Linked DNA regions of Oryzias latipes. The protein of the gene in region 2 purifies or fractionates together with the protein of the main gene of each other region. This does not show direct contact. Links are inferred from orthologs where the notes say so. Each region holds a gene or a part of one and is shown on either strand. Other genes may lie near its edges.

Region 1 (4,247 bases), on a different chromosome or scaffold from region 2:
TATATATATAGATAGATAGATATATGATATATATATTTTTATTCAAAATGTGTTTGTCTTCTGAAACAAAATGATATTGATTTAATGACTTGTACCAAATCAGTGAGAACTTAACCCTTGTGCTTTCCTGTGGGGTCCAGATGACCCGATCCTTACATTGACGTGTTCTTCCTACCATGACAAAGGTGGATTAAGGTGAATAGGATTTCATGTAATCCATGGACACCAGTGAAATCATTGAAGAAAAAATGTTCAGCGCACTGTCTTGTGGGGTCTAGATGACCCAACTCCCAATGTTAAAGTGACTCAGATAGCACAAAGGTTACAGCAGATTTATTAGTTCCCAAATGAATAAAGTAAATCTCTCATGTTGATGTTTTTTTTAATATTGGAACTTCAAATAAATGTAATTTTTATGAAGATTTTGGGTTTAAGGTGTTAAATATAAATATTCATAAAATATTATGGAAAAGTATAGTCATTTCCATGATTCCATTGAAAACATTGTCCAGATTAAAATAGTTTAAAACATCCGTGCCCCGCAGAATTTGGACAGATTTCACCACAGTATTCAGATTTACTAAAAGTTTGTTTTCGTGGTTTTAATGAGGTGGAACCCAAATTTATGTAAAAATAAATAAATATTAGAAATCAATTAAACAGTACACTATATTCAATTTTTAGATCTAATTATCCAAATGAATAGACTTTTCCATGATGCTCTATTTTTAAAATGGTATTCAATAAAAATCGTGATACTACTGATAATTTTGTAGTTGTAATATCGAATATAATGGCAACATGGTGTGAAACTGGGAATTACATTTTTAGCATTGTATTGTAGAGAAAAAAGACAGTTCTCCGATCTAGAATGCCTTACTTCTTAATACTATGCCAAAATTGAGCAATCCTATTCCCTTTTTTTATTCAGATTTTGACTGCCTTATGAGAAATAGCATAAACTAATTCATTATATATATATATATATATATATATATATATATATATATATATATATATATATATATATATATATATATATATATATATATATATATATATATATATTATATAATATAGTATAATAGTACATAGTATAATATATAATATATATATATCTAATATATATATAATTTTATTATAATAAAAAGAATTTAGAATTTTACAATTCCCTAATGAAAACTCCTTAAGAAATGATGCGACATGGATAGGGTTTTAGTGAAATGACATATTTAAGTTTAGGTGATCACGAATCAAACGTCTGCCTTCCTAAACATGAGCAGACGTGAGTCGGTATAATGCGGTGTCTTCTGCACACAGACGTGAGCGGTGAAACCAATGAGAGTGAGGGGGATTTCCCCACCCTTCCCTTACGCCAGAGCGAGGCTGCCCTCTACCACCGGCATTCCCAGTATGCACCGCGGACCGAGCAGCAAAAAATAGTCCACTAACGAAAGACTGCGAAAAGGGAACCAGAAACAGATAGCTTACCGGCTAAAACTCTGTCCAGTAATATTTAACGTAATCAGAACTACTAACATGGCCGACAACGAGAAACTGGACAACCAGCGACTAAAGAATTTCAAGAACAAGGGCCGAGATTTGGAGGTAAAAGTTGCGAAGATCGGTGTCCTCGCTTTCGTCTGCACAGCCGCCGCGCTCAGCCTTGCCCCTCGGCTCCGTTGTGACGTCGTTTCTAATTTACACCACGGGCAACTTTGCTGCCAGAAACTGGCGAGGGCCTTCAGAAATCAGTGTTTATTGGAGGCTGGAATCGTTGGGTCAATTTCGAACTGGTTTCGTTTTATCCCGAAACCGTGTTGGGTGTAAAACATGTCAGAAAAGCCTCCGCTGGATCAGCTCTGCTAGCCACCAGCTAGCAAGGCCTCCGGGAACATGCTAACTCCACTGATGCATATCATCCCCCAGTTCGGTCTCGCTCGGTCAGAAATGTTAACAGCTTGCATACAATTATTTACAAAGTACTTTTACGTTATCTTCTGAGAATGTGGTGTTAAGTTAAGCTAAAACAACGACAGATGTTCGTACTTCTAACATTGCAGTTAGCCCAACTGCGTGCTAGGTTAGCGCGGCGGTGCTGTTGGCTGCAGTTCCACCCATCCCCCGTCTTTATAATCAAAAACAATGGCGGAAACAAGTAAGCTTCTAACATGACCACTTATATTAGGCTCAAGTCCACACCAATAGTAATATAGTTCTATTTTATGCGTTAATAGGACGTATTCTCAGGAGAGCAGTCTCCCCTTAACACGTTTACTACATGATTCATAGATCAAAGCTGGACGTTGGTTCATCATGTCGGATCAATAAGTTACCAGGTGATTTACAGTCAGGTCAACGCGTAGCTGTTAATGCATTCCAGCTAGTATTGATATCGGTTTCAGGTGGGGTTGCAGACGCAGGAAACCACGCATCCTGTTTGAGAAGGTACATATATGTTGCGAGGGGGGCGTCGATGATTGTTACGTTAATTATTCGACTTTCAACTCGAGAACCGCGCGTGAAATTCGTTTCTCCAATGATAAACTTTAAGCATCAACACCAAGGTTCAATACTTAATGTAAATAACTTCTAATGCATGCAAAGGTTCACGAGGAATTGAGTCAACAAACATTGTCAATTTGCATTTACTTTGCCTCCACTGTGTGCATCTGACGTAGAATTGTTTCAGAGGGCGGCGGCCACGTGGGACAGTAAAGCTGCACCTTTACCGTGAATAGAAACACATCTAATGTCACATCATGCACTGCAACCTGTAGACATATCCGCTTCTGAAATAAATTTGGCTTGATGTAATTACTAAGCTGGTAGCTGAGGGAGGAAGTGCGTGCGATTTTCAAGATGTTTTTAGTGGGTTACCAGATCACTTCTCTCATTCATAGTTCTATTTTAAGTCATCTCTGTCATATGACATTAATATGTTTACTATTTTTGGTCAGTGTTATCACTAATAAAACAACTGACTGTGTGGACACAATTGAGACATAACTGGTCATAGTGAGGATCCTAACAAACTATGGTTTTAATATTTGCAACAGGTTTTGCTTGACTAGAAATCGAATAAAGTAATGGGTAGATGAATAATCTTGTATAGGAAAACCCTAAAAGTGATCCTTAAGGTCTTCTTCCAGTCATGTTGTTTTGTTGTAACTATTAACCTGCTTTTTCTTTTTTATTGAAAAAGCTTGCTATACTACCATTTCCTAAAAATGCAGTTCCCATTTTTGCCATTTTACTTTTTTTTCTTTTTGCATATGATACAAATATGTCAAAAAAGAACAATGAAACCTGAAAATGTAAAAATGATGTATCGGTCAGGTACTGTAGTTCTTAAAGCTGAGTTACATTTAGTCAGACTTGTGATACTCATTTGTAGTTGCAGACCTCTGCTTTATAGATGCTGTAGACTTAATGCCCAGACGACCTGCATCATCAATACCCGAATATACACAGTACCCTGATATTCTCATTTATTTCTCTAAATTTGTTTGGAAGGTTGAAATTTCCTAATTTAACTAAATTTAATATTTTCCTTGCAGACGATGAGAAGACAAAGGACTGAGGTTGTCGTGGAACTTCGAAAGGTAAATAAACTCTTTACTTAAGCCATTATTTAATTAATATTGCAGAATGCTCTCAGAATTGAATATTCAGCTATATTTTATATATACTTTGCAGTAACATAAATGGATGATTAGTGAAGTGAGCTCACTAACTTTTTCATTACAGAACAAAAGGGACGAGCATCTGCTGAAGAGGAGAAATGTTCCCCACGAGGACCTCTGTGAGGACTCTGATCTTGATGGAGATTTCAGATCAGTGAGTTTATCTTTCAAATATTCCTTTTTTACACCATTATTCAGAAAAACCATATATTGCATGTTTGAATTGCAATACTACTATTAGCAACAGGGATGACAGCTTGTCAGATATGGTATAGACTGAATTTGTACTGAGATTTTGTACATTTTTGGAAAGTCTTCAGATGCTGAGCAGGTTAGGTTTAGACTTTTGCATTTAGGATGCTGCTTTATTTTGTACTGACTAGGTGGGGCAAGATTGTTTCAAAGTGTGCAGTTTGTCTTGCTATGTACTCATTTTTCTTGATCAATGTGCACAAAAGCTTCAGTTGTTGCTCAAGATACTTACAGGCACAAAGAATGAAGCATTTCTAGATATTTTAGAGGCGCTATAAAGACAATAGATGGGTGACAGATGAAAATCTA
Region 2 (2,859 bases):
ATGAGTAAGAAAGTTATCCGAGTGGCTCTCAGTGATGCTGAGGGGTGTAAAAAGAATCCCTCCTCGTCGCCATTTGATCTCGCACTGCAGATCAATAAAACTGAGAATCGATGTGACAGAAGCAACTCATTAAGGAAGAACACGTCACATGTTTTGAAAAACTTGTTTAGTAATTTCCTCTATAAAAAAATAAAAAAAATCTATTTGCTTTAGGAAATAAGGTTTTTGATTTTTTTGTTCCATTTGATGGGAAATGTAGAAACGACTGAGTCAAAGTGACTTTGTTTGCGTCTCACTGACCTTGCAGGGGTTGGACCACAGCCTGCTGCCTAGCAGGTTTTCTCTGAAGAGGAGCCGTGGTGTTTTTGAAGACGGGCTCTTCTGCAGAACCGGGGGTTTCTTTGGCCACTTGGCTGAAAAGCATGGCTTTACTCTCAAACTCCTTCTGCTTCTTCTTCAGCTCCTTTGAAAAACAAAACAAATATATATATATATTTTTATGAAAACAGATAAATCTGAGTGGAGATGCGGCACAAATGCTAAACAATAAAAGCTTTTTGGCCAAAATAAGATTGAATTAAGACTAGGAGGAGCTGCGTTTCCAGAAGAAAATGCAGGGTTGAAGCCTATATTGCTGAATGAAAATGAAACCTAAAGGGTAATAATTGGCACAAAAACAAAAATTTTAATAAAGAAATTATCAAAGTTGACCATAAATAAAGTGGAAACAGCACTATAGCAAAAAAAGATATTTTTGTGAAAAATGCGAGCGCCAAGTATCAAACCAGCGAGCTTCTGCAACAGAGAAGAACAACGATTTTCAAGGATTCCCATGCATTTCATTCAAGGCAATCGATCAATCACTGACTGCGTTAAGACAAACCAATAGAGATGCTTGCTGTCAGCTTTAAATGTTTATTAAAGAGTTTGGATGTCTGAACATGTCAACATCTCGCCAACTTTCCCGTAATGTTTTTGTGCCTCTCCTGCTCAAACTGCTAACGTATTCTGCTCTGCTTTACAGCAATAAAATGTTGGTTTGTTCCAGATATGCAGACTTCCAGAAGAAAAGAAAAGTGCTTGAAATATATAGCACTGATCAAAATAATAAAATAAGAACCAGATCCCCGATTGACTTCTAACATCTGATTCTGACAGAGTTTTAATCTACGCGATCGTAACCATCATCAATGAGGTTTCAGAAACTGCACTGGTGTTTTTGGTGCCACTTCACCTGGATTTCTTTGCGAGACTGAGCCACATCCTTAGTCACGCTCAGCCGGTCTTTGTTTTGGCAATTCATCACCAGCTTCTCCAAAGCAATCAGTCTGTCCATGACAGATGGCTCCGCCAAACTATATAAAAGGATAGAAATGTGAAAACATGAGTCAAAAGGTTATGCGTCTGAGGCCGAACAGACGTGTCCACTTGATAACAGATGGTAAAAGTGAGCAGTGCCGGTCTTGCATGGTCGGGGGAGCAGCTGTGACCAATGGCAGCCTTGCATAAATCTTGATTCCTCGTAAGCTCTAAAATCTTGGCTCGCTCTGATGAGGCCTGCGCCAGTTTCTGATGCTGTCGTCTAAATGAGACTGAATTTGACATGATGCAAAGACACTTTCCAGTAAGCCGGAGCTGTTCAGACGAGTCTGGGAAAAGTAAGTAAGTACCCACATGGAATCGGCTGAAGGTGAAGAGGCGTCCTGCTCGGGTGTTTTCCCGTCTTTCTGTTTCTTCCTGTGTGGCTCGCTGCCAGAACCTCCAGCCTTATGCTCCTCTCGGGCTCGCTTCACTAAAGACGCAGGGAAGAATTAAACCGCTTGAAATTCAGAGCACAGGAGTGCTGCTTGAGTGCACAGTCCTCCATCAGCAGCAAAGCATGAGGAAGATAGCCCAACATCAGTCAAAGCTGCAGCAAAATGTATTTAAGAAAGGCAAAAGGACAAAAGCAACCATGATAAATGATAAATGACAAAAACTTGAAATAAGTGCTGCTGTTTGGGACAGGAGCGCCCCCTACTGGCCTTAGAGTTAGTGGTTCTTTGTGTTGCTGCTGCTCACCTGGTAACACAGGAACGGCCACAGTCTCCCGCGTGAAAGGCTTGTTCACAATCATCTTGGATTTGGCCGCAAAGTTCAGCGCGCTAAATGTGTCAAAGTAGTATTTGTATTCTGGTGCGATGTTGGTGATCATGACGGAGTGGGCCGAGCCTCCCAGAGAGTCCTGCAGCAGGCGGGTCAGTTTGCTGTCTCTGTACGGCACGCGGACCGATGTGCCGGAGTTCAGGGAGTCCACCACCTTGCTGAGCGTGAAGAGGGACAGGTTGATGGCGCCGCTCTCCTTTAGGCGGATGCCCTGGTTGCCGGTGCGACGGTTGTCTTCAGAGCCAGCCAAGTCCACCAGGTAGAGTTTGCCCGTCTGCTGCCTGTGGGGTAAAACACGGGAAGTCCGCACAACCTGAAAGTAACAGCAACAGTTTACAAATATGCAGGATGCAATAGACAATTCTAAAACACAACTAGATATTGATTAGCAAGAAAATAAAAACAGGAAAAAAAAAGGACAATGACTGAATTGTTTCTTTCAAAGTAATCCCAAAAGCGCAACATTTGCTGCTAGTGGGAGTGTTGCAAGAAAGAATTGATTTTAGCACCAGCTACCAAATCCTGGTCTACTGCACAGAGACCACGACCTGTTTAAGATGCTGTTTGACTGGGATCTCAGTTTGAAGGGGAAAAATTAGGAATGAATGGAATTTCACGCCAGACCTTGATCAGAAGGATAGCGTGACTGCGACTTGAGCGCTGGTTCATTTTGGTGGAAGCTGTGGTTCGGTTTAAACTGGCAGGGACAAAATG

The links.
Region 1: the proteins of kif22 (region 2) and kpna4 purify together in Homo sapiens (affinity purification with mass spectrometry; 3 studies listed by BioGRID and IntAct, counting the BioPlex papers as one, with this or other methods). This does not show direct contact. The link is inferred for Oryzias latipes from reciprocal best matches to the Homo sapiens genes KIF22 and KPNA4.

What each region holds. Positions count from the first base shown.
Region 1 is NC_019871.2:13,522,482-13,526,728, reverse strand, and holds the start of kpna4 (importin subunit alpha-3), read left to right. Parts: upstream 1-1,377; 5' UTR 1,378-1,539; coding exon 1,540-1,608; intron 1,609-3,560; coding exon 3,561-3,605; intron 3,606-3,750; coding exon 3,751-3,840; intron 3,841-4,247. UniProt on the Homo sapiens protein: Functions in nuclear protein import as an adapter protein for nuclear receptor KPNB1. Binds specifically and directly to substrates containing either a simple or bipartite NLS motif.
Region 2 is NC_019877.2:7,649,859-7,652,717, forward strand, and holds part of kif22 (kinesin-like protein KIF22), read right to left. Parts: coding exon 2,770-2,859; intron 2,459-2,769; coding exon 2,062-2,458; intron 1,793-2,061; coding exon 1,675-1,792; intron 1,356-1,674; coding exon 1,235-1,355; intron 464-1,234; coding exon 301-463; intron 1-300. UniProt on the Homo sapiens protein: Kinesin family member that is involved in spindle formation and the movements of chromosomes during mitosis and meiosis. Binds to microtubules and to DNA. Plays a role in congression of laterally attached chromosomes in NDC80-depleted cells.